Linked DNA regions of Coturnix japonica. The protein of the gene in region 2 purifies or fractionates together with the protein of the main gene of each other region. This does not show direct contact. Links are inferred from orthologs where the notes say so. Each region holds a gene or a part of one and is shown on either strand. Other genes may lie near its edges.

Region 1 (3,748 bases), on a different chromosome or scaffold from region 2:
GGAATCATAGAACAGCATATAATTGGGAAATGGGCTCATTACACAACTCTGGTTCTTATGAGGCATTTAAATTCTTAGGGGACGACCACAGCGGTTCTGCACAGTGACAGGGAAAATACACCAGCATCACAGCAGGCAGCTGAGGAAGGGTGGAGGATACAGCAAAAGGGATGACAGCCACCTTGCCAGAGAGCACTCAGAAAAGTCACTGTAAAAGCAGCAGTGTGTTCCTAAAGGAACTTCCCACCCAGAGCTCTACACCACAGACTGCCAGGCTTTAGAACCATGGCTGAACTGAACTTCTTTGGTTACCCGGTGCCAGCCATACGTATCAGGTTTCCAAGCACCTACGGCTGCTCCCCTTATCTGTTTTATATCGCAGCCCACAGACTGGCCTAATCATTAGGCAGAAACAGCCATTAATGCAAACAAAGACAATCAATTCCTACCTTCTGTCCAGACTTTATAATCTGATAGTTTTATTTCTCCCTTAAATATCCACTTTTTTACTCAACAAATGTTATTTCCCAACAAAGCAAAGAACTATAATGCATAACCTGCATAAATTAATTTATTGTTGCTGTGCAACGTTGCAGCTTTATTGTTAAAACTGCCTGTATCTCATAAATCATCACATATAACATTGCAGCTTCTTCAAGCTCCAGCAATCCAGGCCTCTATCTTTGCCAGCAGATCTCAGACGACACTTTCAGGTACCTCAGAGCTGTTTTTAAGAACCAATTTTCTACAGCTGTTCTAGAACTGCATCAATCTACTGCATCAATAAGAGAAGGAACACCTGTGCCCCTATGTGGATTGCATACAGCTAATGGGGCTTTTCCAAACAGAATTACTACTCCAACTCTGAAAATAAGAGTGTACATAAATACTTTTTATTTTCCATTGCTTCTCAAAGAGGCACCATTTATGAATATCTACAGTGAAATCTGCTGACAGTAGGTTTAGTACAGAACAAGTAAAGCGTCCATACACAGAAGCCATAAATTAACATGCCTGTATCACCAGCAGCACTGTGCTGCATAAAGTAACTTATATATTAACAATCTTATTTAACTGCTACAGTTAAACCACTCTGTAACCACTAAAGCACTTACACGAGTAAGAAACTAATAACGATACCTTCTTCAGCAAAGAATTTTTCTACAGGTCCCACAAACTGGTTGATCTCCTGCAGTTCTTCATTGCTGATTTCTGGGTAAGGGAAAACTTCTTCCTAAAACAATAGACATCAAAAACAAAAAGCATCACTAACGCAACTGAAAGAAAAGCTGAACGAGTCCTTAAATACCAGGCTCTAAAAGCTGTGAAAATCCAGGACTGTGGAAAGCATTGAGGGATTTTATCTGATGCAGCAAATGGGACTTGACTAAGCTTCATAGCAAAGTGTATCAGGGACACTGAGCAGAAACAAGAACCTTCAAGGATTCTAAGGATACAAAAACCTGTTGTTAACCACACAGCGCTCAGGGCCTGCCCCAGCCTGACCTTGAACATCCCCAGGGACAGGGCACCGCTGCCTCTGCTCCGTGCCAGCGCCTCAGTTGAAGCACTCAGAAGTGAAAAACTTCTTCCTTATATCCAATCCAAATCTGTCCTTTGATTTGAAACCATTCGCTCTCATCCTGTCACACAGATCCTGCTACAGAGTCAGCTCCCTTTCTTCTTGCAGTGGTTGCTGTGCCATGGAGCAGGCCTCAGCTGTGTTGCAGCTCATCAGGATCACCTGTGCCGGCTGCTGTAACCCATTTGGATCTCCCTGGATCTGGTAAATGCTACCATTTCCCAGAAGCGCTCTATTAAAACTCGAGGGGAAAACAGGCACCAACAGGCACTAAACGGGATGGAGTCTGACCACGACTCACCCAACTCCCTGCTCCACGAGCTCTCAGTACTTTGTTGTTAAACTCATCTCGGTAGACTATTAGTTGTTACACTCACACAGGAGCTGACACAGGAGCTCACACACACACACTGGAGCTCACACACACACACACACACACACTGGCAGGAGACACACACACACACACACACACTGGAGCACACACACACACACACGCACACACACACGCACACACACACGCACACACACACGCACACACACACGCACACACACACGCACACGCGCGGACCGAGGGCCGCTCGGCCCAGTACCCCGAGGAGCCCTATGGAGCCCAACGGAGCCGCCCAGCACCGACCCACCCGCCTGTCGGTGCCGACCCCGCCCGTCTCCATGCTCCGGAGGCCGCAGCCCCGCGCTCACCTTGCGCAGCTCCCCGAGGAACAGCTCCTTGGCATAGGCCGCTCGTGGCGTTGCGGTTCTCAGGCGGCGGACGGCGGCGGGTCCGGGCAGCGCAGCGCGCAGGGCGCGCACCAAGAGCCCGTTCATGGCAGCACGGACCGAACCGGGGCGGCTGTGAGTGAACGGGGCGGAACCGGCCTGACCCGGAAGGCGCTGAGACGCAACGAGAACGAGGGGCGGGACCTGCTGTGTCACACCGCCATCTAATGCCGGCTCCCAGGCTGCTGTTCATCGCACCGCCTTCCTATAAGGGCCGCCCCGCTGCCAGCTGTACAGTGACCGCGCAGCGATGTCAATTTCAGCCTATTCCACATAGAACTGCTCTCATAAGAAGGAATTAATACAACAGATATTTGGATCAGCAAACGACTATCATAACGTTACCCTACAGCTGGTTCGTTTGTTCTTTTTCCCTTTTTATTCTATCTTTCAGTAACTGCTTAACAACTGCTATTCAATCATATAACTCATCGAGGGATGCGTACTTTACTCACTGAAGAAGAATCACTCCTGACTCTGAATATGTTAAAGAAAGTTGGTTTACAATTCAAATCCTGTGAAAGGTGAGAGCAGAATCTGGTGTTCCCACTTCTGTTCCCAGTGAATTGCTGTGGAAGCAATGTCACACTGGAAACACAGACATGAACAGTGGCATTGTAATGTGTTTGTCCAGGTAATCCTGCATCCTGAATATTGGACTGTGGCTACCATAAGTACCTGAGGAAAAGAAGTAAATGCACAGCGTTAGTGGAAGGGATTGCCCACGTCTTACAGGCAAATCAACAATTAACTCTATCAATCCTCATTCTAGAAGCTCTACATTATCTCAGCGCTTTACTTTCTAAAGTATTCTAATACAAACAAGGAACAACTTATGCGATGTATTCATTAAAAGGGTTTCACCAACTTAATTTGCTCTGTTGTTGGGGAAGAAATAGTAGCCAGTAAAGTGAAAGTAATAATGGATGAAGAGCATTTGGTGACCTTATGGAGGAGGTGGATGCTCACAGGAGTCCTGTCAAGGTCAGGCATTCAGCACAAGTCACGCTCCTCTGCTCCTTTCTCCTGCCCCCCCAGTGCAGCATTCCTTTCCTACTGGCACAAACGGTACCATGCTCTCATCTCCTGCTCCCTTGCCTGACCTACAGCACAGCTGTGCCAGGCACATGGGGAAACTGTGAGGGACAGGGACTGCTGGTTTGTATGGCTGCAGGAAGGACAGGTCAGTCCAACAATCATGTGCATAGGAAGGGCTGCACGTCTTTAGCACTGCTGGATCCAAATACATTGCAAATCCATGTCTGAAAGTCGAATAAAAACAATTTCACAGTGCTAATTATGAAATGAATTTCCAGCCGTGAGTAACTGTGATACCATTGCTGAATAACGTAACCTCCTAACTCAGAGCACTCGCACAGCACTTTCACT
Region 2 (3,748 bases):
CCTTTTCCTCTTTGGTGTAACTATTTTCTGTCCTGTGTAGTACAATGTGAAGCGTAATGAAAAGAACTTGATTCTTAGTACAGCAGTTTCACTGTCGCTGTTCATAATACACATGCATACAGTAACTATCCATCAGAAAGGGCCGTACAAGTTTTCCCAGTTTATCTACAAATTGAGCCCTCAACTTCTGGGATATATTAAAATTCATCATGTTAAAACTGCAGAGTTCCATGGTTTATGAAAGCATTTGAATTTGCAACCGAAGGGTTCATCCCTAATAAAAGTTACTACAAGGCAAAGTGAACTCAGAAACATTTTCCTGGCATTCTAAGACCTTTTTTTTTTTTTTTAAGGAACAGAATTTTAAAAGCATTTTTCACTGCACAAGTAATCTTAACAATCATTTCCACAGATTAAGTCTAACAACCTGTGAATTTATTACAGAAGAAATTTACTGCAAGGAATAATTAGTCTTCAGCACTGTTCTTGCTTGCTTTCCAGCTGAAGACACCTTAAAGCCATCTGGTTACTGCAAAATTTGGCACAGAAGAAACAAATCTTACTGACGAGAATTATAGCTGAATTCAGAATAGCTGCTTTACTGCTACACATCATAAATAACAGGCGGGAAGACAGCAGAAAATTACTGACTTCTTTAATTGTTTTCTTTCTCAGCAGCCTGCACCTACACACACCGACACACAAATGCAGCTACGGTGACTTCAGCAGAGCACCTCACTGGTTTGAGCTTTAACATACCACTAACTTTTGCAGGATTCACAGTGAAACTATTTTCTTTTGCAGAAAAAATCCATCACATTGGCCAGCTATGGAAGGACAACAGCAGAGGAACAGACGAGATTCTCAAAATGCTATTCTGAGACCATGGTCTTCATGAATACGTGAGTCAAATCCCTTTGTACAGTCAAGGTGCGTCTGTATGCAGAACACCGAATGCGGGACTTAATGATGAAGGGGGAATTACCAACAATATATTTATTTCTCCCTAATGAAGCTTTTCTAATGAAATTTAATACTGCCAAGGTTGCGAGATATTTGAAACAGGAGCCCATTTCAAACCTTTCAGCCAAATGCTGGTGATAGCATTAGCGAGGCGTGGGAATCGAGTCTGTACGTAGTGCTGTAAGAGAAAATGAGCTGAGGGGAGCGGGCTGAACAAAGCAAAGCAAAATAGAAAGAACGATGGCTTCAGACCAAAGGAGTAAAGGAGTACACACTTGTTATTAGGCCAAATGTTTTGACCTGCTGGTTGGGAACATAGAAGAGAAAGAGGCATGAGAACTGGCTGGATGATGTGACTCAAAAACTTAATTTCGCATCACACAGTAAATTTATTATTATCTTTTTCTTAAGATGCAAATCAGAATAATTAATTCAAGTTATTTGCTGTAGCATCATTGCAAGTGAATTTTCAACATATATTTCAAAAGGTTTTGGAATGTTTCCAAAGCTGCAAACACTAAGTATTTTCAGGGTATTTGTACGGTAAGCCTTTCCTATTTACGTATGTAATATTTAAGCCCATAATATTTGAGCCTTAAGTTTCAAGGCAGAATTAATAATCCAGGTTTGTATTAGAGAAGAAACAGTTTATTCAAAGCAAAAGGGGCGAGGAGAAAAATTATCTCGTACTTAGCAACATGTAACACAAACCACAGTGCAACGTGGGATGCGTGGAAGGAGCTACAAAACATCAGCTTACACATAGGAGCTGTAGTTTGAATAGAGCCCAGCTTTTAGGCACCAGATCCCCCAGCACACACAGCGGGCAGAAAGCAATTCGTCGTGCTTCCCCAAAGGTTCCGGGGAAAACCTCCTGGAGAGAGCAGCACAGAAGGAGGATCTCAGCAAATCACAAAGTGCACGAGAAGGACTAAACAATGCGATACTCCTATTGCCCTGAACGAAGTCAAGGGATGTGTGAATCTGATACCGTGCTGAAGAAAATTCCCGTTAATAAATGTGATTAAATGTTTATTGGTTAACCGTGCGCATTTAATAGCTAAACTTTCACCCTGCAGAACACAGCACCATTCGAAAGGTCCGAGCACAGGAGCTGTGTTCCATCGCTAATTTCCGTTAGCGGCTGTTCGCTGCGCTCGGGCATAACGTAACGCTCCAAAAAGTGTATTTCAAGCGCATCAATCACTCGAGAAATTTTCCTCACAGGAGCAATTGCAAAAAAAAAAAGAGCATAACTAACTTTATTTAAACGCACATTTCAGTTTGCAATAGAATAACTAACCGAAGCTGGCTTAAGGTAAAGCCGGACGGTCCGCAGCGCATCAAATACCCGCACCGATTAACCCCGCCGCAGCCCGTACGACCCGACGTGCTGTCGCGTTTCGCCCCGCAGCGCGTCCGCGGGAAGCGGCGGGGCCGGGACAGGCGCTGCCGTCCGCTCCGGGTCCCGTCCCGCTCCGCTCCGCGCCGTCCGTGGACGCGGGATGGACGCGGGCAGCCGCTCACGGAACCCGCCGCCTCCAGCCCATCCGCGGGTGCGGGGCGGGCAGCGGACCGTCGTTCCCCCGCCCGTACTCACCGGAGCCGCAGCGCTGCGGAGTGTGCGCGCCCGCCGCGGGCGCAGTGAGCATGTGCGAGGCAGGCGCGCATGCCCGCGGATAGGAGCGGAGCGGAGCGGAGCGGGGCGGCGGCTCCGCACCCCGCGCCGCGCCCTCCCCTCCCCGCCGCGCTTCCCCGCGGTGCGTGACCTCGCGAGGGTCCGTCCGCAGCGAGCCCGACCTGTTGCTTCCCCGCAGCGAGCCCGCCCCAGGGCAGCCCGCACCGCGCCGCCGGCCCCGCACAGCCGCGCACAGTCCCGCAGGCGGCCGTCCCGCCCCGCACCTACCGCACGCGTGGGGCCGCGCCGCCTCGCAGCCTGTGCCCTCGGAGCTGTCCGGCCGCTCGCTGCTGCCCGGCCCGGCGGAGGAGGAGCTTGCAGCGGCTCCCGCACGACGCGGGGCCCGGCCGGAGCGCGGGGCAGCCTCTTGTGCGGTCACCAACGTGTCCCCCTGAGCGATCCCGCTGCTCTGCCTGCTGTGCTCAGCGCTCCCCCGCGCTTTCTAACTTGCCGGGCCGTGCTTTCGCTTGCTAGCAGGTACTCCCTCAGCGTGCTTTCTGCTTTCAGCTTTATCCGGCCTGATGCTCTCAACTAAGGTTTAGCTGTATGTTTTTAAGAGGGATTCTTGGTTTAAAACGTGGGCATATGAACACAACATCGACTCCTGTGTCAATTTTTAAACCTCAATTTTAAAAGAATATTTGGAGGAAGTTTTTTTACACGCTCTCCCACACTACCACAAGACCTGCAGAGCTGCAGGAGCAGTCCCGCTCATACAAAGCATCCCTCTGCTCCCACCAACACGAGCATCGCACAGCTCCTGGTGGCCAGGGCTGAACTCCCCCCACCCCACGCCATCCTGCTTCTGCCTCCAACATCCCCGCAGGAATCAGGCTGCATCCGTGACCATATGGAGGCGGAAAAGCCAAAGAGCACAAAGGGTGTCTTTGTGCTTCGCCTCGTCCCAGCACACAGGTAGCACACATCCACCCCTGCCCACCAGCATACCTGCTTGCTGGGGAAGCAGCCTGGCCACGGTGGCATCGGGGTGTTTTGCTTCTGCACCCTGCTCTTCCTCTTTTCTCTCCTCTTTCCAGCTGTTCAGGGCAGGCTGCAGCTCTCCTGTTCTGGCTCAATAGTGGACGAGAGCCTCCAACCCTTGCCTTG

Evidence for each region. Proteins that work in one complex are often made in the same cells at the same time.
Region 1: the proteins of EYA2 (region 2) and ACAD9 purify together in Homo sapiens (affinity purification with mass spectrometry; 3 studies listed by BioGRID and IntAct, with this or other methods). This does not show direct contact. The link is inferred for Coturnix japonica from reciprocal best matches to the Homo sapiens genes EYA2 and ACAD9.

The regions. Positions count from the first base shown.
Region 1 is NC_029527.1:3,516,358-3,520,105, forward strand, and holds the start of ACAD9 (complex I assembly factor ACAD9, mitochondrial), read right to left. Parts: upstream 2,527-3,748; 5' UTR 2,408-2,526; coding exon 2,282-2,407; intron 1,235-2,281; coding exon 1,141-1,234; intron 1-1,140. UniProt on the Homo sapiens protein: As part of the MCIA complex, primarily participates in the assembly of the mitochondrial complex I and therefore plays a role in oxidative phosphorylation.
Region 2 is NC_029535.1:4,986,791-4,990,538, reverse strand, and holds the start of EYA2 (eyes absent homolog 2), read right to left. Parts: upstream 2,699-3,748; 5' UTR 2,635-2,698; coding exon 2,564-2,634; intron 1,997-2,563; exon of another isoform or gene 805-1,996; intron 1-804. UniProt on the Homo sapiens protein: Functions both as protein phosphatase and as transcriptional coactivator for SIX1, and probably also for SIX2, SIX4 and SIX5.